Arabidopsis thaliana: one gene and its partners. The protein of the gene in region 3 interacts with the protein of the main gene of each other region in a pairwise test. Each region holds a gene or a part of one and is shown on either strand. Other genes may lie near its edges. The genes, in order: SOT12, HAM4, UNE16 and AT2G17150.

The links.
Region 1: the proteins of UNE16 (region 3) and SOT12 interact in a two-hybrid assay, tested with the Arabidopsis thaliana proteins (one large-scale study listed by BioGRID).
Region 2: the proteins of UNE16 (region 3) and HAM4 interact in a two-hybrid assay, tested with the Arabidopsis thaliana proteins (one large-scale study listed by BioGRID).
Region 4: the proteins of UNE16 (region 3) and AT2G17150 interact in a two-hybrid assay, tested with the Arabidopsis thaliana proteins (one large-scale study listed by BioGRID).

What each region holds. Positions count from the first base shown.
Region 1 is NC_003071.7:1,147,099-1,153,418, reverse strand, and holds SOT12 (sulfotransferase 12), read left to right. Parts: upstream 1-2,755; 5' UTR 2,756-2,963; coding exon 2,964-3,944; 3' UTR 3,945-4,124; downstream 4,125-6,320. Other genes in the region: AT2G03780 (Translin family protein), read left to right, coding at 65-214, 321-522, 606-703; AT2G03770 (P-loop containing nucleoside triphosphate hydrolases superfamily protein), read left to right, coding at 1,574-2,548; AT2G03750 (P-loop containing nucleoside triphosphate hydrolases superfamily protein), read left to right, coding at 4,396-5,451. UniProt on the Arabidopsis thaliana protein: Sulfotransferase that utilizes 3'-phospho-5'-adenylyl sulfate (PAPS) as sulfonate donor to catalyze the stereospecific sulfate conjugation of 24-epibrassinosteroids. Preferred substrates are 24-epicathasterone and 6-deoxo-24-epicathasterone.
Region 2 is NC_003075.7:17,303,102-17,309,775, forward strand, and holds HAM4 (GRAS family transcription factor), read left to right. Parts: upstream 1-2,656; 5' UTR 2,657-2,958; coding exon 2,959-4,419; 3' UTR 4,420-4,547; downstream 4,548-6,674. Other genes in the region: HVA22K (HVA22-like protein K), read left to right, coding at 4,668-4,730, 5,016-5,074, 5,488-5,585, 5,738-5,789, 5,951-6,014, 6,120-6,215, 6,297-6,369, 6,470-6,567.
Region 3 is NC_003075.7:7,935,182-7,942,209, forward strand, and holds UNE16 (Homeodomain-like superfamily protein), read right to left. Parts: upstream 3,465-7,028; 5' UTR 3,317-3,464; coding exon 3,133-3,316; intron 2,859-3,132; coding exon 2,782-2,858; intron 2,674-2,781; coding exon 2,619-2,673; intron 2,529-2,618; coding exon 2,450-2,528; intron 2,372-2,449; coding exon 2,302-2,371; intron 2,106-2,301; coding exon 1,683-2,105; 3' UTR 1,425-1,682; downstream 1-1,424. Other genes in the region: AT4G13630 (zein-binding protein (Protein of unknown function, DUF593)), read right to left, coding at 1-222, 299-848; AT4G13650 (Pentatricopeptide repeat (PPR) superfamily protein), read right to left, coding at 4,430-7,028. UniProt on the Arabidopsis thaliana protein: Transcriptional activator. Probable component of the central regulatory system controlling transcriptional responses to Pi starvation. Binds in a sequence-specific manner to phosphate starvation-regulated promoters.
Region 4 is NC_003071.7:7,465,090-7,475,031, reverse strand, and holds AT2G17150 (Plant regulator RWP-RK family protein), read left to right. Parts: upstream 1-3,445; 5' UTR 3,446-3,857; exon of another isoform or gene 3,858-4,158; intron 4,159-4,337; 5' UTR 4,338-4,498; coding exon 4,499-5,332; exon of another isoform or gene 5,333-5,613; coding exon of another isoform or gene 5,614-5,682; coding exon 5,683-5,730; intron 5,731-5,809; coding exon 5,810-6,818; coding exon of another isoform or gene 6,819-6,901; exon of another isoform or gene 6,902-7,144; coding exon 7,145-7,983; 3' UTR 7,984-8,345; downstream 8,346-9,942. Other genes in the region: AT2G17170 (Protein kinase superfamily protein), read right to left, coding at 3-296; AT2G17160 (Interleukin-1 receptor-associated kinase 4 protein), read right to left, coding at 1,020-1,085, 1,320-1,508, 2,246-2,278; AT2G17140 (Pentatricopeptide repeat (PPR) superfamily protein), read right to left, coding at 9,292-9,418, 9,715-9,942. UniProt on the Arabidopsis thaliana protein: Probable transcription factor.

The DNA of each region.
Region 1 (6,320 bases), on a different chromosome or scaffold from region 3:
TCTTTTGGTACGATTTTGGTTAATGGTTTAACTGATATGTTTTGTGGTTTTGTGTAACTTACAGGTGCAGGAATATGTTGAAGCTGCAACGTTTTATAAGTTCTGTTTGTCTGGGACGCTATGTACTCTCGATGAGATTAACACAACGCTTGTACCACTTAGTGACCCTTCTTTAGAGCCGTTGCAGATCAATATCCTCGACTATATTCTTGGGGTATTTTTTAGACCATCTTTATTTATGGTTAATACTTACTGTCAAAGATGTTCTCTATTGTTTGGAGTTCTGAATTATGTTTGATTATTGTTTGTTACTTGCACAGCTTGCAGATTTGACGGGAGAGCTAATGCGGATGGCAATTGGTCGCATATCAGACGGTGAAATCGAATTCGCGCAGAGGATTTGTCAGTTTGTTCGACAGATTCATAGGGAACTAATGCTAGTTGTGCCAAAGATGGATGACAGTTATGACATGAAATCCAAGATGGAAGTGATGCTTCAAAGTGTGATCAAAATAGAGAACGGTATGCACAAATCTCATATCCGCACACTATTAGATACCAACCAATACGTTTTTGTAACTCTTTTTTGTTTGTTTGTTTATTAGCTTGCTTTAGCGTTCACGTGAGAGGATTAGAGTATATTCCACTGCTTGGAGATAATGCACCAACATCATACCTATTGGGAGCTGCTGATGTCGAATGATTAAAAGTGAGTGGTCTTTTCCGTCTCTCGGACACATTTTAAAGTTCTTGTTAAGGTTGGTGTGTTTGCGACAAGTAGGATCGTTTTAGTATGGACTTATCTTCAGAGAATTTTAGCCACTTCTTACTTCTGAGGAACTTTAAATCTGTATGCTGCAAGACTTTTAAGAAACAAATGGTTAGAACTAGATGTAAAACTTTTCTTTTGTTGAATGGAAGCTAATTTATAATAGAATCTAGCAATTACTTTATTATTCAAGTTAATAATTTTGGCCCTTCTTCACTTTTTCTAGATCTTTCGTAATCCAGAAAGTACATTTTTTGGTTCTTGCTGTTTGTTTGTGCTTAATGAGGAAACATATATAGATACTCTTATCTTTTATGCAGCTACATATAATGCATCTTATTATAGTTCGACATTTGGTACTTTTATATAGGATTTTGACATTTTTTATAAATTTATATCTATCATTCATAGATAGAGTTTTATTTTGAAATCATAAATCTTTCTTTTGTAAAGAAAGTGATAAAAATAGAGAAAAATCTCACATTTTAAGATGTTCATAATCTAGTTATATATAGAGTTATGTGCAAGCAATACCACAATAGTACAATCTGTGTGATATGATTATTGGGTTTTGATGTTTTTCCTTTTTATTTTTAAGATTTCATGGCTTATATAAAGGATTTTTATGCTAATGAAAACACAACTTCCAACAATTAGCCTCTAAGAGAGACTTGGGTTAAGAGGAAGCTTGCTTTAAATCTCTTTGTTCTTTAAGCTTGAGCACTTCTTTGCAATTCAATCATTACTGAGATAACAGAGGGTCCATTTACAAAAGCAAGAGCAAAAGCTTTGGCTCATATCACTATGACAAAATCCGAAACCACTCTTTCGAAGTTATTGGTAGAATCTGAGTTAGTCCAAGAATGCGAGGAGTTGCTGTCTTCTCTTCCGAGAGACAGAAGCGTTTTTGCAGAGTATCTCTATCAATACCAGGGATTTTGGTATCCACCAAATCTTTTAGAAGGTGTTCTATATAGCCAGAAGCATTTTCAGGCCAGAGATTCAGACATCGTCCTTGCAAGCATTCCTAAGTCAGGTACAACTTGGTTGAAATCACTTGTCTTTGCTTTGATTCATAGGCAAGAATTCCAAACCCCTCTAGTATCCCATCCTCTGCTCGATAACAACCCGCATACCCTCGTGACCTTTATCGAAGGTTTCCACCTTCACACTCAAGATACTTCTCCTAGGATCTTCTCTACACACATTCCTGTAGGGTCACTCCCTGAGTCAGTTAAGGACTCGTCCTGTAAAGTTGTGTATTGCTGCAGGAACCCGAAGGACGCGTTTGTCTCACTTTGGCATTTCATGAAAAATTTGATTGTTAAGGAGATGGTTGGATGCACAATGGAGGAAATGGTGAGGTTTTTTTGCCGAGGGTCTAGTATATACGGACCCTTTTGGGATCATGTATTACAGTATTGGAAAGAAAGCCGAGAAAACCCGAAAAAGGTTATGTTTGTAATGTATGAAGAGATGAGAGAGCAGCCTCAGGAGTGGGTGATGCGGATCGCCGAGTTCTTGGGATATTCTTTTACAGAAGAAGAGATAGAGAATGGAGTATTGGAAGATATCATAAAGCTGTGTAGTCTTGAGAATCTGAGTAAATTGGAGGTTAATGAGAAGGGTAAGTTACTGAATGGAATGGAGACTAAGGCATTTTTTAGGAAAGGAGAGATTGGTGGATGGAGAGATACTTTAACTCCTTTGTTAGCAGAGGAAATTGATAAAACCACTAAGGAGAAACTAATTGGTTCTGATTTTAGATTCTTTTGCTAAGAATCTGCTTTACCAACTTAGTTCTCAATTTCTTGAGCTTTTTTTTTTCTTCTTTTTATTGGCTTAATACAAGTAAGGTTGTTGACTTGTTGTGATGGACCAAAGTCACCAAACTGGTCTGTTGAGAAATAAAACTATTGTTTTTGAGTTTTAGACATAAGAGTCGTGATTCTCCTTCTTTCTTGTTTTGTTATCTTTAAATATTATATTCTACGTGCTCTTCAAGTAAAGGATGTGTTGACCATTTCACCACCCAAACTAATATCTTAGAAGCAAAAGCATTGTGAAATTTACTTGTAGAACAACCTTCTCATTCATATATAAAAGCAGACAAGCATTAGCATCATAGATACATAGAGAGCTTAAGCAAAAGATCTCATACTTTCAAGATTGATCGATCTCTCAAGTCTCAACAATGTCATCATCATCATCAGTTCCTGCTTACTTGGGAGATGAAGATCTGACACAAGAAACAAGAGCTCTGATCTCTTCTCTTCCTAAAGAGAAAGGTTGGTTAGTGAGTGAAATATATGAATTCCAAGGACTTTGGCACACACAAGCTATTTTACAAGGAATCTTGATCTGCCAAAAACGCTTTGAAGCTAAAGATTCCGACATTATCCTCGTCACTAATCCTAAATCAGGTACCACTTGGTTAAAAGCTCTTGTCTTTGCTCTCCTTAACCGACACAAGTTTCCAGTTTCTTCTTCTGGTAACCATCCTCTTCTGGTCACCAATCCACACCTTCTTGTGCCCTTCTTGGAAGGAGTTTACTACGAGTCCCCAGATTTCGATTTCTCCAGTTTGCCTTCTCCAAGACTGATGAACACGCACATATCGCATCTTTCGCTCCCCGAGTCTGTTAAGAGCTCGTCTTGTAAGATTGTGTATTGTTGTAGGAACCCTAAGGACATGTTTGTGTCCTTATGGCATTTTGGGAAAAAGCTAGCTCCTGAGGAAACCGCGGATTATCCTATCGAAAAAGCGGTTGAAGCGTTTTGTGAAGGGAAGTTTATAGGTGGACCCTTTTGGGATCATATATTGGAGTACTGGTATGCAAGCCGCGAGAATCCGAACAAGGTCTTGTTTGTTACTTACGAGGAGCTAAAGAAGCAGACCGAAGTTGAGATGAAGCGGATCGCGGAGTTCTTGGAATGTGGCTTTATTGAAGAAGAAGAAGTGAGAGAGATTGTGAAGTTGTGTAGCTTTGAGAGTTTAAGTAATTTGGAAGTTAACAAAGAAGGGAAATTGCCAAATGGAATAGAGACTAAAACTTTCTTTAGAAAAGGAGAGATTGGAGGATGGAGAGATACTTTGAGTGAGTCATTGGCAGAGGAAATTGATAGAACCATTGAAGAGAAGTTTAAAGGTTCTGGTCTTAAATTTTCTTCTTGAATCAATCTTTGAAACTTGTTCTCATGTTCTTGTTTTGCTTCAATTATGTTATTTCTTGTTTTATATATTTTTCTGCTGTTATGTTTGTGTTTGTGTTTATGAATAAAATGAAATAAATTATGTTTGTGTTTTCTTGAATCATACTATTATCTTTTAGAAAGAAACAAAATTTTGTCGCTCACTATCACATTTAGATTTAAATTTATGACACCGCACATGCACTAGCCACTAGACACTAGTACACGACTAAACTACAATTCCAAAGAGTCAAAATCTATCAAGTATTTTTTTTTTTTCAAGATAAGATTTCTTATCGTAATATAGGAAATGTGTGGCTTAAGATCCACGCATGATTAAAACAAATCCCTAAACACTTTGTCTATGAAATATAACCATCTGCTTGTAAGGTCAAATTGTTCAAAGCATCAAATAAGTAAATAAAAACTCTTTTATGTTCACCTTTTTCACTATCCTCTCTTTGTGTTTCAAATCGTGGGAACAAATTATCACAATGGAGGCTTCTAAAGAAGCTCATCACCTTCCAAACTACATGAAAGACGACAACGTTAGTCAAGAAACCAAGAACTTGATCACTTCTCTACCTTCAGACAAAGATTTCATGGGTTATGGTCTCTACAACTACAAAGGTTGTTGGTACTATCCAAACACACTCCAAGCCGTTCTTGACGTCCAAAAACACTTCAAGCCACGAGATACTGATATAATCCTCGCTTCTTTGCCCAAAGGTGGAACCACTTGGCTCAAATCCCTAATTTTCGCTGTTGTACATAGAGAAAAGTACCGCGGAACCCCTCAAACACATCCTTTGCTCTTACAAAACCCTCATGACCTTGTCCCATTTCTTGAGGTTGAGTTATACGCTAATAGCCAAATTCCGGATCTCGCAAAGTATTCTTCTCCTATGATCTTTTCTACACACATGCACTTACAAGCATTGCGTGAAGCCACCACAAAAGCTTGCAAAACCGTATATGTGTGTAGAGGTATCAAAGATACGTTTGTCTCCGGCTGGCATTATAGAAACATGTTGCATCGCACCAAGATGGATCAAGCCACTTTTGAGCTCATGTTTGATGCTTATTGTAGAGGAGTTCTCTTATATGGACCTTATTGGGAACATGTATTGAGCTATTGGAAAGGGAGCTTGGAAGCAAAGGAGAATGTTCTTTTCATGAAGTACGAAGAGATAATTGAGGAGCCTCGTGTTCAAGTCAAGAGACTCGCCGAGTTCTTGGAATGTCCATTCACCAAGGAAGAAGAAGAAAGTGGATCGGTGGAGGAGATCTTGAAGTTGTGTAGTTTACGAAATTTAAGCAATTTGGAGGTTAATAAGAATGGGACAACGAGAATTGGTGTAGATTCTCAGGTGTTCTTTAGGAAAGGTGAAGTTGGTGATTGGAAGAATCATCTTACGCCACAAATGGCGAAAACCTTTGATGAGATTATTGACTATAGACTAGGAGACTCCGGTTTGATATTTCAATAAGGTTGTGTTGTGTTTTTTTTCTTTTGTCATCCGAAAATAAATTAGGACTCAAACGAGTCATTCTTGAGAAATGTTATGTTGTATTCTTAGCTTTGAAATTCCATGTTTCTTCTTTTTATGAACTTAGTTGAGTCAATTTTCGCTAAAATAATTTGTGTACTAATCAGTTACGTAAATATAAGAACATTAGAACCAAAAAAAAAATATAAGTTAGAAATTATCTTGTGGGCTTTAAAAGTCTTAATGGGCCTGACAATTGCTAATATTCGTTTTAGTCGAAATATCATAGTTAATTAGTTATCAATGCTTTTTGAGTGTCTTAGCTGATTTTAAAAAGTTTAGTTTTTGCTTGTTTGTCTTTTTAGGTGTTTATGAAATCTATTGAGGAAGTTTATTCGTCAAATGGTTAACGGTTCATCTATATGAATATTTTGGATTATGGGTCTAGATTAGTCGACTCAAATACTCTATCCTAATGATATTTAAAAAATAAAGAAGTGTTAGGACAAAAATTATTTTCAAAAAAATTGAATTAATAGTGAACGAACATAATCATGTTTGAAAGTTCTTCTATTATTGAGATCATTCAGACAAAAATCTTACGTGTCGATAGAATCAGCATCTAGTCAGGATGATGACTTGTACCATACATCTATGGCTATATATTTTGATTTAAAGTTATTTTATTTTATTTTTCTTTTTAGAAAATAAAACAAAGTCGATAGTTCTCCTGAGAGTAAGCTCTAAGAGAAAAACATATGAAGTTAGAAATAAAAAAGGAACTAGAAATTATAGAAATCGAAAACTCGTACCACGAGTTAGACCAACAACCAACTTAAACACTACTCAAAAAAACTGAAAAATATAAA
Region 2 (6,674 bases), 9.4 Mb from region 3:
ACAGGATACTAAACACACAAAGTTTACAAATTCATAACCTTCAAATTAAAAACAACTTATGAGAATTGAATAATATGTTTTGGCGATATTATATTATTACACAGGTTCTCAGCAGTCAGCACAACAACTTAAAATTTTCTTTATCAAAAACAGTTTATGAGACATTATACTTAGTATAAATCACGGTATACATATTATAAAACTACCAACACAGAAACGAATAATAAGAAAGAAACCTTTGGCAGTGGGACAATTTTGGTAACGAGAGGATCCATTGGTCGATCAGTAAAAGAATATTGTCAGAGTGGGAATATAAGATATGATCGTCATTCATTTGTTTTTAATATACAATCACGTGTGTTAATAAATAGAACTTGTATTAATTACCAACATTATTTATGAAATATTCTTTTCTTTTTCGACAAACTCCAATCATGTGTAGGGAAGATATTGCCATATTTGGAGACGTTAGTGTATATGCAGAATAATTATCATTCATAAATTGTATTGCATATAATTAAAACGTTCGTTACCCAATATCAGATGGATTTAAATAAAATAGTTGTACACATAGGGCCATCATTTTTTCAGGGAATTAGCTGTATGAACGAGAATCAAAAGTGATAGTGTAATGATTTTCAAGCTAACAAGACGTAACATTTTGGTGGTCTGTGGACGAAATAATTTCTGAGCATAATGAAAACATTGGTCTAATACTGGCATTTTATTATTATTATTATTATTTTATTATTTGTTTAAAATACTGGCAATTCAATCTAACAAAAAAAAGGCAACTAATTTGGCGAGTGATTTCAGTTCGATAAATCATTGATTATTTTTCTTGCATGTTCCACATATATAAACTATAATATTATGGTATTTTATGTATGATCCTCGAAAATAAACTAACTAGTTGTTAAGCATGAGATTAGGATACAAGTGGATCCCATTGCATGTAGGCGTTCATACGGTGGAATATTAAACTTGATTATTTCTCTTAAATTTTTAAAACATAACAGAAATGTGGGCTTAATCATTAATTTAATGAGAAACAACTAAAAAAAGTTGCCACAAAAAGAACTTTTAGTATTTTAGTGTGTTAATTGAGCCGCTATACCGCATAAAATCTAAATTATATAACACAGATGAAGACTTATGTAAGAAAAAAAGTTGAATTATGTTAGGAAAAAGGTGTATTAATGAGAGGAACCTTTTCTCCACGATATTAAAGGTTGAATAATGTCTCAATGAGAAGAAGCTTTTCTTCACGAGAACTATATGATGTTTAAATTTCGCAAACTAGGCCATATTTTGCGAAAATGGTGAGTTATTAACCTAATATGATCAAACATTCCTAATTACACAAGGAAAAAAAAAAGAGAGTATATTCAAAAGATTGAGGAAATGGTTTTGCATTCTGGTACACCAAACCAAATAGAAAAGAAAGAAAACAAAAAAGGAAGGTAAATTTCCATGAAAATGAAAGCAATAAGTGAAGGAGAGAACATATTCTTTCTTTTTCCTTTGCGAGTTAGAGAGAAGAGTGGGGGGCTAAGCAAAAGAAAGAAGTGGGCGTGATTCTTACGCGCTGACTTAATGATCAGTCAATCTCTGGCCCATGGGCTTCTCGGTCATTTTCTCCGACATTATTACCTCAAAAGTTAGCCCATTGTGGACCCGCTTACTTTCCCCCTGCTTTTTACCGTGTTATGTGGGCTCCACATAAAGCCCAGTGGTCACTCCCTTTTTCCTTTCCTTTGTTTTTTGTCGCAAGCAGCGGGGATTAGTGTCCGTTAAACATCATCGACTCAAATTGTTTCATGCAATTTTCCCCTTTTTTATTGGTTATCAATCGAATAAACCTCTCTAGCTTTTGTAACTAGTTTGAGATTATTATGTGATATATGCACGGTACTAAATAAATACATAATATTGTATTTTGTGTGGTACTAACAACTAGGTTTAGTGAGAATAAAAACGACGTTGTAGAGTTTGTTTAGTAAGAATATTTTTGTCCAACACAAACTACTTTTAAAAAAAAATTCCAAACGTTGATATACCTATTGCCTATTGGAATAATCAACGCAGATTCATAGTTTTTTATTTATCTCCATACTTGGGTCAAAAACGTATGAGATTTAATGATCGAAAACAATATCCACAAATATGAAATATTTTAACGCTGATCTCAAACTCAGGTACAACATAGTTACATATAGCCGTGCTGCTATGTTTGAGAAAGATTATTTTTGATCACTTAAATTGTCATATGTAATAAAAAAAAACTTTCAGTTAAATGTTTTTGTAAAATACTGTTTAAAATTTTAGGATGAAAAAGACTGAAAAAAAACCACTCAGACAAAAAAAAGAGAGAAATCATTAACCTTTTTAAAACATCCTTTTTCTCTTTTATTTTCAACTTTCACATTCTTGATGATCAACATAGTGGAGCTTGGATCTCTTTTCAATCAAATGATTTATTTTTATTTTTAAAGCAGAGGAACTTTATTTGTATTTTATCCCTTTAAAGAGCTGTAGAAGTTTCCTTTTCATTAGCTACAGAAGTTGCTAGTTGTGCATAGTATATAGTTTTGGAGATATATTATGAGAAATTAATACAAAATAAAAACTGATTTAAAATCTTTCAGTTGAATTTCATGTGAAATAGTATGTTATTAATAAAAAACGGAATCATATACAAATCATTGTCAATCAGATTGTTTCGTGTATAAATATTATTCTGTAAAACCAAACAAACCCGGATCAGACACGGTTACCAAAGTTGAAATCTCTTTATTTGCACGCACTCACTCAAAGATAAAAAGCTTACCACTCTCACCTTTCAAAAGCCCCGCCACCTTCTTCTTCTCCCACACACAAAGAAAAAAGACAGAAAGAAAAAAACTTTTTTTCTTTTCGTTAAAGGCTCCACCTTTCTTTCTTCTTAACACACAACACATGAAAATCCCTGCATCATCTCCTCAAGACACGACCAACAACAACAACAACACTAATAGTACTGATAGTAATCACTTATCAATGGACGAACATGTCATGCGTTCAATGGATTGGGATTCCATCATGAAAGAATTGGAGCTTGATGACGATTCTGCTCCTAACTCACTTAAAACCGGTTTCACCACAACCACAACAGATTCTACTATTTTGCCTCTTTACGCCGTCGATTCAAATCTCCCTGGCTTTCCCGATCAGATTCAACCGTCGGATTTCGAATCGTCTTCCGATGTTTATCCTGGTCAGAACCAAACAACTGGGTACGGTTTTAATTCTCTTGATAGTGTCGACAATGGAGGATTTGATTTCATTGAAGATCTCATCCGAGTCGTGGATTGTGTTGAATCGGACGAGTTACAACTCGCTCAGGTGGTTTTATCACGGCTTAATCAACGCTTGAGATCTCCGGCGGGTAGACCGTTACAGAGAGCTGCGTTTTACTTTAAGGAAGCTCTCGGTTCGTTTTTAACCGGATCAAACCGGAATCCAATCCGGTTATCTTCTTGGTCCGAGATTGTTCAGAGGATCCGAGCGATTAAGGAATATTCCGGGATTTCTCCGATCCCTCTCTTCTCTCATTTCACGGCGAATCAAGCGATACTCGATTCGTTGAGCTCGCAGTCGTCTTCTCCGTTTGTTCACGTGGTGGATTTTGAGATTGGATTCGGTGGCCAATACGCATCGCTTATGAGAGAAATCACTGAGAAATCTGTAAGCGGTGGATTTTTAAGAGTTACGGCAGTGGTGGCGGAGGAGTGCGCCGTAGAGACGCGACTAGTGAAAGAAAACCTAACTCAATTCGCGGCGGAGATGAAAATTCGTTTCCAGATTGAGTTTGTGCTGATGAAGACTTTTGAGATGTTATCTTTCAAAGCGATTAGGTTTGTTGAGGGGGAGAGGACCGTCGTTTTGATTTCCCCGGCGATATTTCGTCGTCTAAGTGGAATCACTGATTTTGTTAACAATTTACGGAGAGTATCACCTAAGGTCGTTGTATTCGTGGATAGTGAAGGATGGACGGAGATCGCCGGATCTGGATCATTCCGGCGAGAGTTTGTTAGCGCTCTTGAGTTCTACACGATGGTGCTGGAGTCGCTCGACGCTGCAGCTCCTCCCGGAGATTTGGTGAAGAAGATAGTGGAAGCGTTCGTTCTACGACCGAAGATCTCCGCTGCGGTAGAAACGGCGGCTGACAGGAGACACACCGGCGAAATGACTTGGCGGGAAGCGTTTTGCGCCGCCGGGATGAGGCCGATACAGCTAAGCCAGTTCGCCGACTTTCAAGCTGAGTGTTTATTGGAGAAAGCGCAAGTTAGAGGATTCCACGTGGCGAAACGACAAGGAGAATTGGTGCTGTGCTGGCATGGAAGAGCACTTGTTGCCACATCAGCTTGGCGGTTTTAGATAAACCGGGTTTGGTTTAACAATATGATATAGAATAGAATAATTGTATTTACCGCCTTTAATATCTCTTTTCTTTTTGCTGTTTATCTTTCAAATAAAGAAATAAAAATATTTCTTACGAAGAGTCTCTGTATGAGCTAGAGTCTTTTAATGATTCATAATCTCCTCTATTCAAAACACAAGTGACCTTTTTTTTGCGAGTGTGCGAGTTCGTCGTCAATTTGGTAAAACCGTCGTACGAATCGCCGATGAGCGGGTTTGCTTCACAGATTCCATCCATGGCGCTTCTTGGATCTGGACTCACCGGCGAGGTAATCTTCCTTTAGTTTGATTGATGTTTCCGATTGTACGGCTTTTGTTCCGATCCGTGATTTGGGGATTCGTGATAAAGTTTATGATTAAATATGTATATTTAGGATTCCTTCATCTTCTGCCTTGTTGGAATTCAGATTTCTTCTGTACTGGATTGTTTTTTTGTTTGGATTACTCTTTGACAAAAGCCGATTAGAGAAAGAGGTGTTTCAATTCCTGATCATGTGGATATTCTCAACTTTTGGATTGAGAGAAACAATTGTTTTTCTCAATGGAATTTTCAGGTTGGGTTGCGTGTATTGTTCTCTCCACTTAGTTCCAATATCGTACTTCGTACAGCATGGTGAGTTTTTTTTATTGTAAGGTGAAGAAAGCCATATAGTTGCTAGAATCAATGGTACAGGTAGACGAATGAATTGGAGGAATGATTTGATTGGTGAGATTGTGATCTGATTGAGTGATTCTCATTACATGTGAAGCAATGGGGTAGGGAGGGAGTTTTTTTTTTTTTTTTTTTTTTTGTTGACATAGTTATTAACTTAGCCGAGTGGACAAGGGTTCTATTCTACTTGTTGTGATACTTTAGGGTATCTTTTGGACAAGGGTCAATCTATTGTTGGGGAATCTGGATTCTTTTTGTTTTATCCGAGTTTTTGGTTATTTTCTCTATTAGAAGGTGTTATAGCTGTAGTTGACTAAAGGATTCGGTTATAAAGGACACGTTTGTGTGGTATGTCTGAAACTTGTTTCCTGCAGCTGCTCCATTGGCATCGGTTTGCCTGTGTACTCTACCTTCAAGGCAATTGAGAGTGGAGATGAGAATGAACAACAAAAGATGCTTATTTACTGGGCAGGTGGGATATTGTTACTGCAATTGTTATGACCTTTCTAATTGCTTTCCTTATTCTTTGACTGTTTATCTTCAATAGTTTTTTTTCAATCTCCCTTGGCCTTCTTTCACATGGAATTTGATGGGGTTTTTTCTCTATCTTCACCTTCTTTGCAGCTTATGGTTCTTTCAGCCTTGTTGAAGTGTTCACGGACAAGATCATTTCCTGGTATGATTGACATCTTGAAACTATATACAATATCTTGATGGTTTTGCTGTTATGTTAGACAAATAAGATATTTCTTCTAATGGACTTTATCGAGAGAAATGGCTTGATTATCTCGATAAACTCGCAAAGTATTGATACTCAATAACCTCGATTATTTGCAGGTTCCCGCTGTACTATCATGTGAAGTTTGCGTTCCTCGTCTGGCTTCAACTCCCAACTGTTGAGGTACCTATCGGAATCTCTTTAAACCATCATCTAACGAGTAGGCAGCTTTAACCCGTGGTACTCATCAGTTCTGATATTCTCTATATTCTTATTTGCCGACAACAGGGATCAAAACAGATATACAACAACCAGATCCGTCCTTTCCTCTTACGACACCAAGCTAGAGTGGACCAACTTGTGGATGGTGTATATGGGGAAATGGTACACGATTGCTTTCTTTTGAACTCCCTTATTCTTCAGTCACTTTTAACTAACGCTTTAAAACAAAACAAAAAACTGCAGGTGAAGGTCGTTAGGTCACACCAAGGAGAAATACGGTTTGTCCGAGCAATGATTGCCAAAATCTTGGGATCAGGTTTGTTTCGGAACTCTAATTTTCTATCTTTAGTGTAATACTTTGCTATCAGGGTATTGAACTGACTATTTTATTTGTACTTGCTGTGTTGTTCCAACAGTCAACGAGGATGCACCACGACTAGGAGAAATAGCAAATGGTAGCCCCGTTTCAGAAACAAACTCGGATTCAGAATCCGATTCCAATCACGAAGACTAATAAAACAAAGTGTAATCGTAGCTTTTGCAGCTTCTACAGTCTTGTAGGTCAAATCTCTATTACACAAAAATGTCAAACGATTGTATAGTTACGTAATCTCAAATGAC
Region 3 (7,028 bases):
AAGCCTCATCTGCAGCAGATGCAGCAGCATTTCTCTCTTTCTCAAGTTCAAGAGCTAACGAAGCACGTGCAGCTCGTTCTTCCCCAAGCACTTGTTCTGACATCTCAACCGTCCTCTGTACCATACCAGGGGAACTGCATGCACCCTCTCCCACTCCACACCCAACAGAACTTAGTGAAACACTTTTCCGCAACGACACATCCTCCAATGCTTTTCCACTATCTACAATGTTACAACTTGCATCAAAATCAACATTCACTATCCAATATAATTGAATAAAGACAACAAAAAAACTTACCATTGGAGTTCACAAGAAGAGGATCATTTTCATCATATGATCCCTCAAAGCTCTTAAGGCCTAAACAACTTTGGTAATGGTTCTTGAAACCATACGGCGACCTATGGAAGCTAAGCCGCTTACTCTTAACTTTAAAGCTTCCTTTTTTCAAACTTTGCGCAGTTAAAAGATCGAACCCTGAAGCCTTATTCTCAAACTTTCCAACAGAAGGAGTAGTACTAGATACCTCATCTTCCAACTGAACACGTCTACGCTCACATTTTCTCTTCTTTCCACCATTATACAGAATTGAATCAAAAGGTGTTCTATTTTTAACAGATCTTTGAACAGAAGAGATCTTTTTAACCGGAAGATTCCTTAAACTCTCTTGAAAACACTCACTGTATAGACCATCACAAGGACATGGTAGGTCTAAACCAAATAAACCGAGGAACTTCGATGTTACATAAACGATAAACGATGCGCAAAGTAGCGAAAACGCAACGGAAAGATCGATAAACGCAGCCACTAAACCTTTAAATGTCCATGATTTTACCTCCTGGCAACGCATTTTATACCTGCAAGTATACAATAATCTACAGAAATTACTCAAAGTTTGAGAAATTGGTTAGAGAATCAAATTGTTATTTGAATCAATTACAAGCATATATCCAAATCTAAGACTAATTTGGTAAGTTAATCAATCAATCAATCAAATTATATATAAACACAATCGTTACCACAGAGAAAACTCAACGATGAATCAATCGTTAACACAGAGAAACTCCTTGCGATTTGATTAATTTTTAGTAAATTAGAGAATTGAAACTCACACGAAGAAGAAGAAGTTGAGAAATCTTGGGGAAGCAAGCACAACGTAAACGGCTCTTCCTCTGCCGTTTTTATTTTCTCTCTTTGTTCAAAAATCAAAACTTCTTTTTTAGTTTTCAAAACTTCAGTTGCAAATCACCGTACGAGTGAGCAGATACGCCGTCATTTTATCGCCGACCCCATCACTCTCTTCCTCTTGAGATTTTTTTTTTTTTCTTTGACATTTTATTTTACACACGTAATCAAATTTGTGCATTTACGCAAATGTGTGCCAACTAATTTGTAGACAAGATCCAATCTATAGCATGGAGATAAGTTATGAGTATTTAATGAGTATTTTTTATGTTATACAATTACATAAATTCTATATTTAGGTTTGTCCAAAAAAGAAAAAAGAAGGCAAGCTTAGAAAAAGTTGAAGCAAATACACAAACTAAAAGAGAGGCTACAGATTCAACAAATATATACATAGACGCTAAGACAAGTTTGATGACAGAGTTTAGAGTTAAATACAACATAGCAAAATTAAATAAGCTAAAATCTGGTCTCGCTCTCTCTCTCTCTCTTGCTAACTTCATCCAATGCTACTACTAGGCATAACCCATCCAGCATCATGACCAACAACCACACTATCTCCATTTCCAAACACTCCTCGTTGTCTCTTCTTCATCAACGCAGCTGATACCGGACTTCCTACAGTGCTGGAAGTCAGAGAGCTCTCTGCTGAACAGTTGTTCTTGTGCTCTATTGCTACTGCAAGCTCGGATAAGGATGGAATCATCATTTTGGTTGTGTCGAAGGTGCTTGTTGTTCCTTGGCACCCATTGGTGATGGAGGCCTTTATGGCTAGCTCTGAAAGCTCTTCTCTAGCTGCCTCTAACCCAGCAAATGCAACAGCTTGCTCCTCTATAGCCTTGCAAGCTTTCTCTAGAATTGATTGCAGGTACTTCCCTTGTGCCTCGATCCTTAACTGGAGTCGCCTTTGCACCTGCGTATACTAATGGATCTTATTAAATGTGGAACCAGGGCTCAAACATTAGTATATGCGGTTTCTATGGTTCTAACTTTCATGAAAAGATTTCCTAAGTAGTAACGTTCTGATAAGCTTTAAGGAAATTCAATGGAGGTTTCTATATAGTCTCTCATTAACCAAAGTCTCTCTGGTATTTGGTGAATTCGAAGAAGAAACTAACCTCTAGTTGCTCGTGTAGTCTTCTTTGGACTTCCATCTGGGCACGCAAAGCTTCAGTGACCTGGTAACTCCTGGCTCAAGACAAAAACAATGAGTGTTATAGACAGTGAATATAACACTTGGAATAAAGAGAACACTTGAAACCATACTCGTTCTGTTCTTGAGCAGCCAATCTTAAGGATGATGTTGAAGATGAACCAGTGTCCTGACTCTCCGCAACACAAGAAACTACAGAGATATAAGTTCACAAAGATATAAATGCACAACTGAATCCATAAAGATATAAATGGATTCTTAGCTAAAGATATAACTGAATACCATCCTTAGAGTTGTCAATTGATTCTTTACAAGATTGCCTCCCCAAGCGGAATTTCTACCGAGCAAAAAACCAGAGAACAACACAGTCAAAAAGCAATGAACTTTGTTTGTTATAAGTAGCCAAAGAAGCATAATTTGATATTGAAGGTAGTAGCATCAAAACCTGAAGATGAGATTTGAGATGGTAAAGAGTGAGACCCTTCACTCCCATTGTTCTCATTATAGTTTTAGGCGTTGCTTCTGACATCAAACCAAACACACAAAAAAACTAATCTTGTAAACAAATCTCAAGGCCAATAAAAAAAACCTAAAGAATGCCACAGTAATTCCTAAATTGTTCTAAGTGACATAAACCCAAGAAATCCATTCTATTTCAGGATGATTGACTTCCAAATCTGAAAGAAATTAGACCTAACTCGTTGTCAAATTCTTCGTACTAACTGAAGAACAACAGATTAAAAAAAAAAACACATTTCATTCTAAGATCCATAAATTTCTAAGAAGGGACACTTACTGTCGGGTCCGCCGAGCTGAGTGACGGCGTCAACGAATCTTTCATGGAGCTCAGAGGTCCAACGAAGGCGAGGCTTGGGGTCAGTGGTTAGGACCAGACAAGCGTCGATGGGAAGATTGGTTCCGTCAGAGTAGTCTCCCAAGCTGCCATCTAGAGGAAGCGAAGACCGAATCGCCGAGTACATTCTTCTTTGATCCCCACAAAGGAACAAACTTTTCTTCGTTTCTTTTATTTTCTCGGCTGTTTTCCCGGGAAAGTGAAAGAAAGTGTGAAGAAAGATATTGTGGATTTCTAAGACAGCGAAGAAACGAGTTGATAGATTGGACAAGACAACACTCGGATAGTATTTTGTGTTTATATTTGTGCATTATTGAATTTATTTAGATATTTTCAAAAAAAAAAAAAGAGAGAGCAGAATTTATGTTTTGGTTATTTGTACTCTTTGCATTGAAATTCCAAATAACATATATGTTTTGAAAAAGTAGTAAGATAAAATTTCTTTTAGTTATTATTTTCGTTTTTCAATAGCAGAATAAAACTTCAAGTTCTCTATCTTAAGATGGTGCTAACTGCTAAAATAAACCAAATGAAAAAAGAAAAAAATAGGGTCCTCAATTTTTTTTTAAATATCAAATCCTTTAAACCTACTAGACATTTTTCCAATTATTTTTCTTTTATATAATTCAAGAGAAAAAAAGTATTCTTTAGCTTTAGTTTTTTAATTTTTATATTACTATTGACAAAATTTGTTTATGTAATAGCAGTTTCCAAATTCAGCCACATAAAACATTAAGAAATCAGAAGCACATCAATCATTCATATGCATAAAGAGAGACTCTGTTTCTTGGCAACATAGAATCTTTATTTTGAGACACTTTCTCTTAATCTACAATTCATCAATTTTAAAGCCATAGATGCACGTATATATGTAATATGTACACATATATAAGCCCCTAAAAAAGGATGGGGTATGAAAGATAGTGATAGTTACTTAGCAATGGTAGTAGAAACAAAGGAGTGGTTCGTTTTGTTAAGTCATCGATGGTCTCCTTTGCTCATGATCAACTCCTGCATCAACTCCAACTTTTCCTCAAGAACAGTCATGTGACTATTCTTTCCTTCAGGATAATACTCTTTGCTCAAGTATATCGTCTAGTATCATATCATTGCTGAGAATTCAGCTTACCCGTAAGGTTTGGTCCATGATCTCCTTCTTTGAGCGAGAACCAGAGCTCGAACTTTGGAACACAGACTTAACCTTCCCAAAAGAGGCGAGTGAGCTACCAGGCTTTGGCTCTTACCAGTAATCTTTACAAGAGCAAGCACCTCCTTCAAAATGATGAAACCTATATGCATCCCTCACTATGATTTCTCGATTTGATACCTTAGATACAAACTTTATCCAAGCATGGCAATCGTTGCAAACACGTAGGTTCTTCATTACATTTATAGGCACTGTTGCAGGCAAGCTAAGGAGTCCAAATGAAATTGCTAATTTCTCGCTGTGGATGAAAATTATTGGATCTTTTTGCTCGTGCTGCAGTTCATTCAATAGGCTGAAACAGTCTTGCACATACCCGATTTCAGATGCTCGTTTGGTAAGATCTTGGAAGTATTCATGTATCTCATCTGCTAACGGGTGATTCTGGTCACCAACATAGAAAGAGTGAATTGAGTTTTTAACTTCAATCCAACTTTGTCCCGGTTCTTTCTTCACACCCTTTTCTTTCATCTTTTGTCTTGTAAGATCCCTAGCATCCCATTTCTTGGACACCGCATACAGATTTGACAGAAGAACATATGTTGCTGAGTCTTCAGGTTCTAACTCTAGGAGATGATGCGCTGCAAATTCTCCTATTTCCATGTTCTTGTGCACTACACAAGCACTCAAAAGTGTTCTCCAGACCAAGGCATCTGGCTTAATAGGCATTTCCTGAATGAACTCTTTCGCACGGCTCAAAAGACCAGCTCGAGTTAGCATATCCACTACACACACATAGTGTTCCGGTTTAGGAGATAATCCATATTCTGAATTCATGGATTCAAAGTATGCAATCCCCTTGTCCACTAGTCCTATGTGGCTACATGCTGATAGAACTCCCACAAGCGTCACATGATTAGGCCTTACATTAGAATGTATCATCTGGTCAAAAGAATCTAGTGCTTCAGAACCAAACCCATGTTTAGAATAAGCATTAATTATCGCATTCCACGAAACTTCATTTTTCGTGGAGACTTCAAGGAACTGCTTCTCTGCATCAGAAATGCTCCCACACTTGGCATACATAGAGATTAAAGCATTGCAAACTTCGGTTTCTGAATCGTATCCGGTTTTGGTGATCACAGCATGAACCTGCTTCCCTTGTTTCATGTTAGCTGTCTCAGAAGCAGCTTTCACAGCAGACCCAAACGTGAAATTATTATTGTCAATTCCTTCTCTGTTCATTCGAACGAAGACACGAAGTGCTTCTTCATTGTTTCCACTCTGCTGAAATCCGGATACCAGAGCATTCCATGCTATATTATCTCCAGCTTCAGTTTGTTCAAACGCTAAATACGATTCCTCTATTTTTCCGCATCTAGAATAAAGTGTAACCAGTGCATTTTGAAATGGCAGGTCAGATGAGAAACCAGATACACAAGCTTGAGCATGAATTTGCTGTCCTTCCTTTAAGGCTTGAAGACCAGCACATGCACTAACTGCATTTGTCAATCCAACTTCATCAGACCGAATCCCTCGATCCAACATCTGCCTGAAAGTTGTTAAAGCTTTGTCGTCGAAATTGTATTGCGTGTAACCTGCAATCATTGTTGTCCAAGACACAACATCTTTTCCAGCAAACCTTATAAGTATATCCCAGGCAGTATCCAACTTTCCTAATTTTGCATACATATCGATGAGCACACTACAAACATAGGCATTGAGCTGAAAGTTAGTTTTTATTATTTGACTATGGATTTGTTCTCCAAGCTCCAGATCCCCAAGTCGTATGCAAGTTTTCAAAATACTCGGGTAGGTATATTGATTTGGAACAATTTCCTCTATCTGCATCTGTCTGAAAATCCTAAAAGAATTTCTTAAATCGTCTAATAACCCATAAGCTACTAGCATCACATTCCAGAGAACTACATTTTCAACCTCAGTCTCAAGAAAATAATCAAGGGCGGTTTCAATATCAGCGCATTTTGCATACAGATTAAGGAGCGCACCTTCAATCTTGTTGTTTGAAGCAAAACCAAGTTTAGTTGTGTATGCATGTAGCTGTTGTCCCCTAAACAGAGTTCCATCAGCTGAACATGCAACCACAAGGCTCGCAAGAGTATTACTGTCTGGTTCAAGTCCATCAAGGTGCATTCTTTTGAACAATTCCATAGCTTTCTCACCATAACCACACTGAGAAAGCCCGTTGATAAGAGTGTTATAAGTAACTGCATCTCTCTGTGACATGTTACTGAAGATGTGTTCTGCTGATATCAAATTTCCCAAATGAAAGTACAAAGACACAAGTGCATTGCAAACATAAGTGTCGGAGGAAAACCCTAACTTCAATACGAGCCCATGAAGCTGCTCACCAATCTCAAGAGATTCTATCTTCTTACACGCACTTAAAACACTTGAAAACGCATAAGGCGTTGGCATGATACCTAAAACATACATATCGCAGAACAATCTAATGGCTTCTGCTTCACATTCATTTTTCGAAAGCCCGGATATCATTGCAACCCAAGAACTATGATCCTTCAGACGTAACCCATCAAAAACCCTTCTAGCTAAATCCACAAACCCATTCCTAGAGTACAAGTCAATCAAAGGATTACACACAACCGTACTATCCCTCAAGCCCTGATATAAAATCCTTGCATGAATCTGCTCAACTACATCAAAAGCAACACTA
Region 4 (9,942 bases), on a different chromosome or scaffold from region 3:
ACCGTGAAGTAGTCAGGATCATCCCAAGGCGTATTCTTGAATCTCTTGACAGCTACGAAGCCAAGATTCTCTAATAAACAACCTTTGTAGACAACATTGGAAGATTCTTCTGCGTTCTCTGATATGATCTCGTCGGAACTGAAGTTATTGGTCGCCGTGGTGATATCGGAGAGGAAGAACTCTGTGACAGGCCAGTTGACGAATCCGTCGTTCTTGCGTTCGCCGGGAGGAATCTGTGGCTGTTGTGGAGGTTGTTGATTGTTATCAAGAGGCGTCGAGAAGCAACAACCACCCATGGTTTCGTTTTCGCCGGCAAAAGCAGAGAGAATATTGAAAGCGTTCTTTGCGAGAGAGAAAGAGAAAGAGATTGTTATCACTAACAAGTGAGTTTACACAAAGGAAAGAACCTTTTATAACAGACTATTATCCCTAAAATCTAAACTCAAGATTACGCAATCTTTATCGTTGATCTTCATCTTCTAGTTATTATTATAGTTTTTTGTTATATATTTTCCTTGTTTTTTCACTAGTGGGTCAAAATTATATTTTCATATTTAGGAAGTTTGAAATTGCATGGTGGTGTGACAAGTGGATTTCAAAGGTGTATGATATTTTTTTTGGTTAATTATTTGAAAACTTTTTTAGTAGAATTATAGTTTTGCTAGTGATATTGTTAATTAATGAGATAAATTCATTTGAACCCTTTAACAAAAAGAAGAGAGAAATGTATACGTATTTTTTTTAATATATAACAAGGGTAAAAGATATCACTTCTTTTTTATATTTTTTAACATAAACTCAAGATTCTTCTTCCCTAACCATGCATGTTGTTGGATCTCTTTGCTTCGAGAAGTGTTGCTTTGTTAAAGCTACTAGCAGATTCAGTGTGGAAGATGATTCTTCTGCTTAAATTTTCCATATTAGAAGATGGAACCTGCAAGCAAGATGATGATGATCTGTTTTTTAGTACGAAAACTCATAAAGAATTCATTAAGGGTAACAATAAGTCCTATTCTTACTTATGCTTTAGTTTGACTTGAAGATGATGCCTCCAGATTCTGCTTTGTCATTTCAGAAGTTGGAATCTGCAAACAAAAGATCGGTTTTATAACTTAAGAAGAAGTTGGAATCTGCATACTTAAGAACGCTAAACAGTTCAAACTGTTGTTGTTGACTGGAAGATGCTCCCACCTCGTGCTACTTTTCCAGTTCAAGCATTTGAATGTTTGGAATCTGCAAGCAAAACGATAGGTTTTATAACACGAGTGCGAGAAATATCATCAAGAATGCATATGGTTATAGTAAGCCTAGCTCCTTACGTGTGGTTTAGTTTGCAAGGCTTTAAGTGTTGCAACAAGCTCTTTTGTGATGAGACTTTTTCTATGTTCGCACTGCAAACATTCAGAGGCGAGTTTGAAAACTAGGAAAGCTTCTTCTGTTGAGAACTTTCCCTTGAGATTTGGATTCATCAGCTCAGTAACAAACTTTCCGTTTCTCCTCACAGGAGCCTAAAAATAGGAGGATAACAACTCAGTAATATGTGTCTTGTGTGGCAAGAAATTAAGGATTACTATATCACAACTAATTTACTCAGCAGAAATGTGACTTGTGTTGCAAGGAATTGAAAAAGACAGATTCTCTAAGGATTAAAGTCACAAAGTCAAGATGAATGGCTTACATGGTTTGAAACAGAATGGCTTACATGGCTTGGAGGAATTCGCTTTCCAGTTAGCAGATTCACAATGATATTTAGTACCAAATCAATGTCACACTTTTAGGGTTCACGATTCCTACAATAAGAATATATTATATAACATCACATTCAGATATGAATAGTATGAAGAGACAAGCAAGAACTGATTACCTCTTGTTCTTTGACTTCAACATATCCATTAAGCAAATAAAAACAGTTAAGCATACTTAATTAGATCATTAAGAAGGCATAAGCTTGAAAATGTTGTTTCGTATACCTTATCAAACAGAACCGAGTAAGCACTTAAGTTACCGTACGATAAAACATGTATTATTCCAATAATCCAATGCTTCTATTCGATTGTACGGGAAATTATTATATGTATCTTTGAAAACGCCTTGTATGCACCAAGATAAGGACATAAAATTTAGTTAAATCACACCGTTTTCATTACAAAAATGTGATATCATCTTATCATGGGCATATATATATATTTTACAGGTTTTTTTTTGCTCACACAAAAATTGTTCATACAATCAGTAATTACTTTACCTCAGGGTTTGGTCTCCTAGCTTTTGTACCCATCATACTCAATCACGAGATGGTTTGACATCACACGACTTACGCTATACATAACGATTAATGAACATAATTTAGTTTTTCTTTCTTTTGTCTCGGATCGATCAATGATATTGATCTTATATGATATCAAAATCTTATAGTACTGGCAGTGAGATTAAAAACACTAATTTTAAACGACATTATTGTTACATGTGTAGATAGGACCTGCCGTATTCAGACGAATAACAAATGACAAATCTAAGAAATAGAGGAAGAGAGAGAGAGAGAAAGAGACGTCGTGCGCATTTATAGTATAAAGTATAAACCTTTGATTATTATTGATACGTTATTTATGATTTACACGAGGATTCAACTATTTTCAAAGAGTTTGATGACCTTTGGTTTGGTCATGTCATTGTCCCGGACGCGGCTAATGGGGATCGGACTATGGCTCCCCAAATCATTGAGGGCCGTTTTGATCATTTAACTAAGCGTCTAAGCCCGACCCGTTGGATATCAATGTACATATTAATATATTATATACACAAATATTCAAGTTTAATCATTAAATTTGGTTGAATGATGAAACCTAAGATGAATGATTTGTTTCTTCTGTTCGCTTTTTTTTTTTGGGTTTGTTTTTATATCGATTTAGATAATGTGTAACATTGGGAAGTTCACAACCTGTCTAGTTAGCACCCAACTTATGACAGTAATTTTTGTCATGAAATTAATAAAATGACGACATTTTGGAACATAAATAGCAATTTCATGTGTAAGAATAAATATTACCATAATTGTGTGAATCATTATGCCTTTAATGCAATTATTTATATATCGATCATATATAGATTCCATCCTATATACAAAATGTTTTAAACTTTGAGACTCGAGCTGATGTCAGAAAGAATATTCATATAAGAGAAATCGAAAATAAAGTATTAAAGGTCAAACTATATTGATGAACGAACGAACCTGTTCAACACGAAAGACATGTCTTCTCTAAGAAATGATCTTGATCCGATTGATACAGCCAAGTTCTAACCAATGAAACATCCCCGAATAAAAAAACACAAAGTACCGACGAAGAAATAAAACAAAGTGTACGCATACGTAATCACCACAACTGTTATAGTAATAATAATAATAATCTTATACGAATTAATTATGATTAGGGGCAACAAAGAGGAGGTCAGAATAACACCAATCACACGATTAAATAAGAACATTTAACCATCAGGCTCCAAACCAAAACTTAGAAACTTGTTTTTTTTTTTTGTTTCCTTCTTTGATCTTTCTTTCAGAAGAAAAGATTGATTTAAATTTGAGAAACCAAGCGACTGTTTGTTTACTTTCTTTATTATTACAGATTTACAGGTACAGACAAAGTTGTATGTAAGTGTGATTAGAACAGTGGATGCTCTTATCACGGGTCCACTTGCTCTCTAAAAAGAATATTGAAGCTCATAATTACATCTTTAGAGACTAAAACAATCTTAATCATTCACCTTCACCAAGTACTTGTGTCCAGAAGAAAAAGAAGGAAAAAAAGAACACACCATTCAAGAAAGAGAGAAGCTTCTTGTGATAAGAAATTTCACAGGTTTTGTTTTTGTTTTGTTTATATATATTCTCAGATTTGATTTTGCTTACCATTATATGTATGAAGAAATAGAGAGACCAATTACTTTTTACATTAGACAGAGTAAAATCCAGTCTGTGCATCTTCTCAATGTTTTTTTTTTGTTTGTTGGTGCTTTCTCTAAGTGTTCTTGGGTATAGGTCCCAAAGTGAAGCTTTTTCTGTTTCTTTGTGCAAACAAATCTTGATAAAGTTAGTAACTTTTGGTGAAAATCTTACCCTTTCATGGACAATCAGATTTGATTTCGTTTCCATGTCCATAGGTGAGAATTTTGTAATTGAAATTGATGGCACTCTACTTTGATTGATGGATACCTTCTTAAGTCAACTCTTCATTGAAAGCGAAGCTACTTATATAGATTATATAGCATCTCTATGATATGATTCTTCTCTTGTCTTATTCTTGGGTGGGTCTTTGACAATGTTTCTGCAACTTTTTCAGATTGGGTTTTAACATTCCAAGGAGAGGACTTTGTCTTGTCTCTATTCATCTTCAAGACCCTTATGAGTTTCGGTTCTTGAGTAAACAACAGCTAAGCACAGTCTCTGAGAACTTGAGGATTTGGTAGTATCTGTTGGAGGTATAAAAACGAATCTTTAGACATGGAAGATGATGGTGGTAGTGATGGAGGCGAAGGAAATGGTGGGTTTTCACCTAATTCTAGCTTTGGGGCATTCGCTGACACTGCCATGGATTTGGATTTCATGGATGAACTCTTGTTTGATGGATGTTGGCTAGAGACAACAGATAGTAAGAGCTTGAAGCAGACAGAACAATCTCCTTCAGCTTCTACCGCCATGAATGACAATAGCCCTTTCCTCTGCTTTGGTGAGAATCCATCTCAAGATAATTTCTCTAATGAAGAAACAGAGAGAATGTTTCCTCAGGCTGAAAAGTTTCTCCTAGAAGAAGCTGAGGTGGGAAAAAGTTGGTGGATTGCTCCAAGTGCAAGTGAAGGCCCGTCTTCATCTGTGAAGGAGAGGCTACTACAAGCTATTAGTGGTCTTAACGAGGCGGTGCAAGATAAGGACTTCTTGGTTCAGATATGGGTGCCAATTCAGCAGGAAGGGAAGAGCTTTCTTACTACTTGGGCTCAGCCACATTTATTCAACCAAGAATACTCCAGCCTTGCAGAATACAGACATGTTTCAGAGACTTATAATTTCCCGGCTGATGAGGGTATGAAAGATTTTGTGGGTCTTCCCGGTCGTGTTTTCTTGCAGAAGTTTCCTGAGTGGACTCCTGATGTGCGTTTCTTTAGAAGAGATGAATATCCACGCATCAAAGAAGCACAAAAGTGTGATGTTCGTGGTTCACTTGCCCTTCCTGTTTTCGAAAGAGGTAGTGGGACTTGTTTGGGTGTTGTTGAGATCGTCACAACAACTCAGAAGATGAATTACCGGCAAGAACTTGAGAAGATGTGTAAAGCTCTTGAGGTTTTGCCTCTACCTCAAACTACTCTATAGATCCCGCAACGCTTACCTCACATGTTTAGACCCATACAACCAGTAAACCTCATGCTTGAATGTATCTTTCACTGGATGGCTTTCTCTGTTTGCTCATTATTCAATTCCTCACATTTGTCCAGTTTGTTTTTTGGTTTTCTTTAGAGTCCAACAACATCTTCTGCATACGTTTGTACTTTGATTGTTCTACATCTTTCTTTCTGCATCATGTCTCCTCCTGTCAGTCATTCAGCCATAATCTTCTTTGATTAATGTCTGTGATAACAGTGAGAAGTTTTGTTTATGTGCCACAACAGTCTAAAGACGCTGCTGTTTTGCAGGCCGTCGATCTAAGGAGTTCAAGTAACTTGAACACTCCAAGCTCTGAGGTGCATTAACTGGATTCTTAGTTCATTCAGCTCCTAGAAACAACGATATGCATTGCTAAGGTCATACTCCATGTTTCAGTTTCTGCAGGTCTATAGTGATTTCTACTGTGCTGCATTACCTGAAATAAAAGATTTCCTGGCCACAATCTGCAGATCATATGATTTTCCTCTAGCTTTGTCATGGGCGCCGTGTGCTCGGCAAGGGAAAGTTGGTTCCCGACATTCTGATGAGAACTTCTCTGAGTGTGTTTCAACAATCGATTCTGCTTGTTCTGTCCCCGACGAACAGAGCAAAAGTTTTTGGGAGGCATGCTCTGAACACCATCTGCTCCAGGGGGAAGGCATTGTTGGGAAAGCATTTGAAGCCACCAAACTCTTTTTTGTGCCCGAAGTGGCCACATTTAGCAAGACTAACTACCCCCTTGCACACCACGCCAAGATATCTGGACTACATGCTGCTTTAGCAGTTCCATTAAAGAGCAAATCTGGTTTGGTTGAGTTTGTGTTGGAATTTTTCTTTCCGAAAGCATGCCTTGACACTGAAGCGCAACAGGAAATGCTCAAGTCACTATGTGTGACACTGCAGCAAGATTTCAGGAGTTCAAATCTTTTCATCAAAGACCTAGAGTTAGAAGTCGTATTACCTGTAAGAGAGACAATGCTCTTCTCAGAAAACCTGCTATGTGGAGCAGAAACCGTAGAGTCGTTGACAGAAATTCAAATGCAAGAATCCTCATGGATCGCCCACATGATAAAGGCAAACGAGAAGGGTAAAGATGTATCACTTTCTTGGGAGTACCAGAAAGAAGATCCTAAAGAGCTCTCATCTGGCCGGGAGAACAGTCAGCTTGATCCAGTCCCCAATAATGTTCCTTTAGAAGCTGAGCAATTACAGCAAGCATCAACTCCAGGACTCAGAGTCGACATCGGTCCAAGCACAGAATCAGCTTCGACTGGTGGGGGAAATATGTTAAGCAGTAGGAGACCAGGGGAGAAAAAAAGAGCAAAAACAGAAAAGACCATTGGCTTGGAGGTTCTTCGACAATACTTTGCTGGAAGCCTCAAGGATGCAGCCAAGAGCATTGGTGGTAAGAGAATGTTGTACACTGCTGGTGACATAGCCCCATTCTTTATGAATTTTGATTCTTATTGTTTCTTGGGAAAAGCATAACCATTACGTTCATTAGTCAAAACCCAAAACATTCCAAATGAATATGTTGAACAAAAATTCATGCCTCAGGATATGTGAAAACTCCATGGCCAATATACATAAATATCAATGAAACCAGAAGTCAGTCTTACATTATATCTATGTGGTAGTGGATCAATCATCATGCTCTACAAACATTTTCATCATGGCTATTTATCTGTCTCTCAGACAGTGATCTGACAAGGTTTCGTTCTTGTGTTGCAGTTTGTCCAACTACCTTGAAAAGGATATGCAGGCAACATGGAATAATGCGATGGCCCTCCCGAAAAATCAAGAAGGTTGGGCATTCGTTGAAGAAACTCCAACTAGTTATGGACTCTGTCCAAGGTGCGCAGGGCTCTATCCAACTCGATTCATTCTATACAAGCTTCCCAGAGTTGAACTCCCCAAATATGTCTAGCAATGGCCCTTCCTTGAAGAGTAATGAACAGCCAAGTCATTTGAATGCTCAAACCGATAATGGTATTATGGCAGAGGAAAACCCCAGGTCACCATCATCTTCTTGCAGCAAGAGCTCTGGTTCAAGCAACAATAATGAGAATACTGGAAACATTCTAGTTGCTGAGGATGCTGATGCGGTGTTAAAGAGAGCTCATAGCGAAGCACAACTGCATAATGTGAATCAGGAGGAAACAAAATGTCTTGCAAGAACCCAGAGCCATAAAACATTCAAGGAGCCTCTTGTTCTTGATAATTCATCTCCATTAACAGGTAGTAGCAACACGAGTTTAAGAGCTAGAGGTGCCATCAAAGTGAAAGCGACATTTGGTGAGGCCAGAATACGGTTTACCTTACTCCCGAGTTGGGGCTTCGCAGAGCTGAAGCAAGAGATTGCTAGGCGTTTCAACATAGATGACATTTCCTGGTTTGACCTTAAGTACCTGGATGATGATAAGGAGTGGGTTCTTCTGACATGTGAAGCGGATCTCGTGGAATGCATTGACATATATAGATTAACACAGACCCACACAATTAAAATAAGTCTGAACGAAGCTTCTCAAGTCAAGCTAAGTGGTTCTTTTGGCAACACTGGTCTTTCCTGAAAAACATTAAACGAAGTTTTGTAACTGCAAAGCACCAGGAAGATTCTACTGATTTTTTTAGCTTTTGTAGAAATCTCACTTACCTTTTCAGCATGGGAATCCTGTATAAACATATTTCCAGTTCCCTGAACAACATTTTGGAAGTGGCAGTAGTAACTGGTCTCCTGTATTGCCCTAGCAGATTTTTGTATAAAAGAGATGAATTCCATAGACTTGTATTTTATGCATGTACAATCTTATTGTCTGGTTTCTTAAACTCTGCAAGACTGGAACTATGGCGATTGAAAAATTCTGTGTGTTTCGCTTATTTATTTTTGGGACATGTCTGGTTACAGGATACTATCTAGTCCATGATTGCATTGATGTACATGGAAAATAATGTGCCGGGATTCAAGAATATCCATTTCATGATATTGATTATGAGATTAAACATTTAAAACTGATATTGTAAAAACAGGAAAAAATAATCTGTATGGCTATGTTTAAGAAGAAACCTAGTTCCAATTAAGCAGCTAACACTTGGTGGTCTTCCACGTTTTATAAAACTTAGTCTCTTTGTATCCCCACTACAAACTCCTACTGTTCCAGAACCAGAAAATGTGCCGACAGAAAGCACAAGAAAGCTTACATTTTCTCCAATAATGTAGATTGTGTTCCTCCCACCCAAAATTCAAAGTTGGGCTCAAATTCTTTATGAAAGCAGGCAGCTCTTATGTTTAAACGTCGTTCTAACAAGGATATATTTGTCCAGCCATGTCGTCTTGTCTGGTTCTACCAGCTTAGCTACAAAGACAGGAAAACAGAAGGTGAGGGTCCAATTCTAAAATATTTTTCCACTGAACATGAAGGTTATTAAAAATAGATTGGATTCCTCAACATTATCCGTGATACTTTTACCAGAGAGTTATATTTAGCTTCGTTAGAGATCTCTCAACCTTGTACATCACAAGCTACTATAAGGCTAACATCTTACACATGAGCATGGAGACAATGATCAAAAGAGTATGCCACAAGATCATTATTTGATTATAAAATTAAATACTACTGTCCAAAGTAGGAAGAAAATGAAGAAAGTGATGTGAAGTCCTACTCTACGTTACTTTAAATTGATTTTTGATTTAACGAGAATTTTGTTTTTTTGTCCAAAAGATTAGACGTGTCTACATCAGAAGGCTGTTGTATTTCAGACGTGTCTACAACAGTATTCGTTCTTACCTTTACCTGTCATCCTTGATGAGCTGCACCTCAAAAACTTGCTTGCGCCATCTGAACTTTCCCATCAGAAAGAAAACAGAGTCATGCAAATCCTTAACCATCGTCCTCCCAGTAGTCTAAGTAGTCAACTCTTGGAGGCTGAAAGCTTGATATATCCCCTTGACCCCATCCTTTTTTAACTCTTGACAGAGACCTTAACGCAATTCCACTACCGTCATCTCTGCAAAATAGCGATTGATAGAGAAAACATTCATTAGGTTTCCGACAAGACAGTTAAACCGATATTCTTAATGTAAACTCACTTGAAACCAAAGACTCTACTGCCTAATCATATACACGAATGCTTACTCCAAATCTTGGAATCTTTTTCTTTCCTCAAAAAACCAAACTTTAAAAGGAGAAAGCAGAACTACAAAACCTCCAATAAAAGCATCTTAAAATACATATTGAAACGGCGCCTATAACAGGAGAAACAATAAATGATGACAAACCAGAAGGAGAAAGTGTCATCCATACCTGTGTAATATATTCTGCCAGTTGTTTCCACCATTCTTATTATGCTTTTTCTGGTGTATATCCCTTGCATTTGGATCGACTTTGTTTGCTACTTCACCAACTGAAGCCATTTCCATCATCTTATCAGCAAAACTGTTTGCCTCTTTCTTGTTTCCCATCTTACCTAAGCCATCTATCACAGGCATCAATGCTGCAGGGTCAAATCCATATCCTCTGTCTATCATCTTA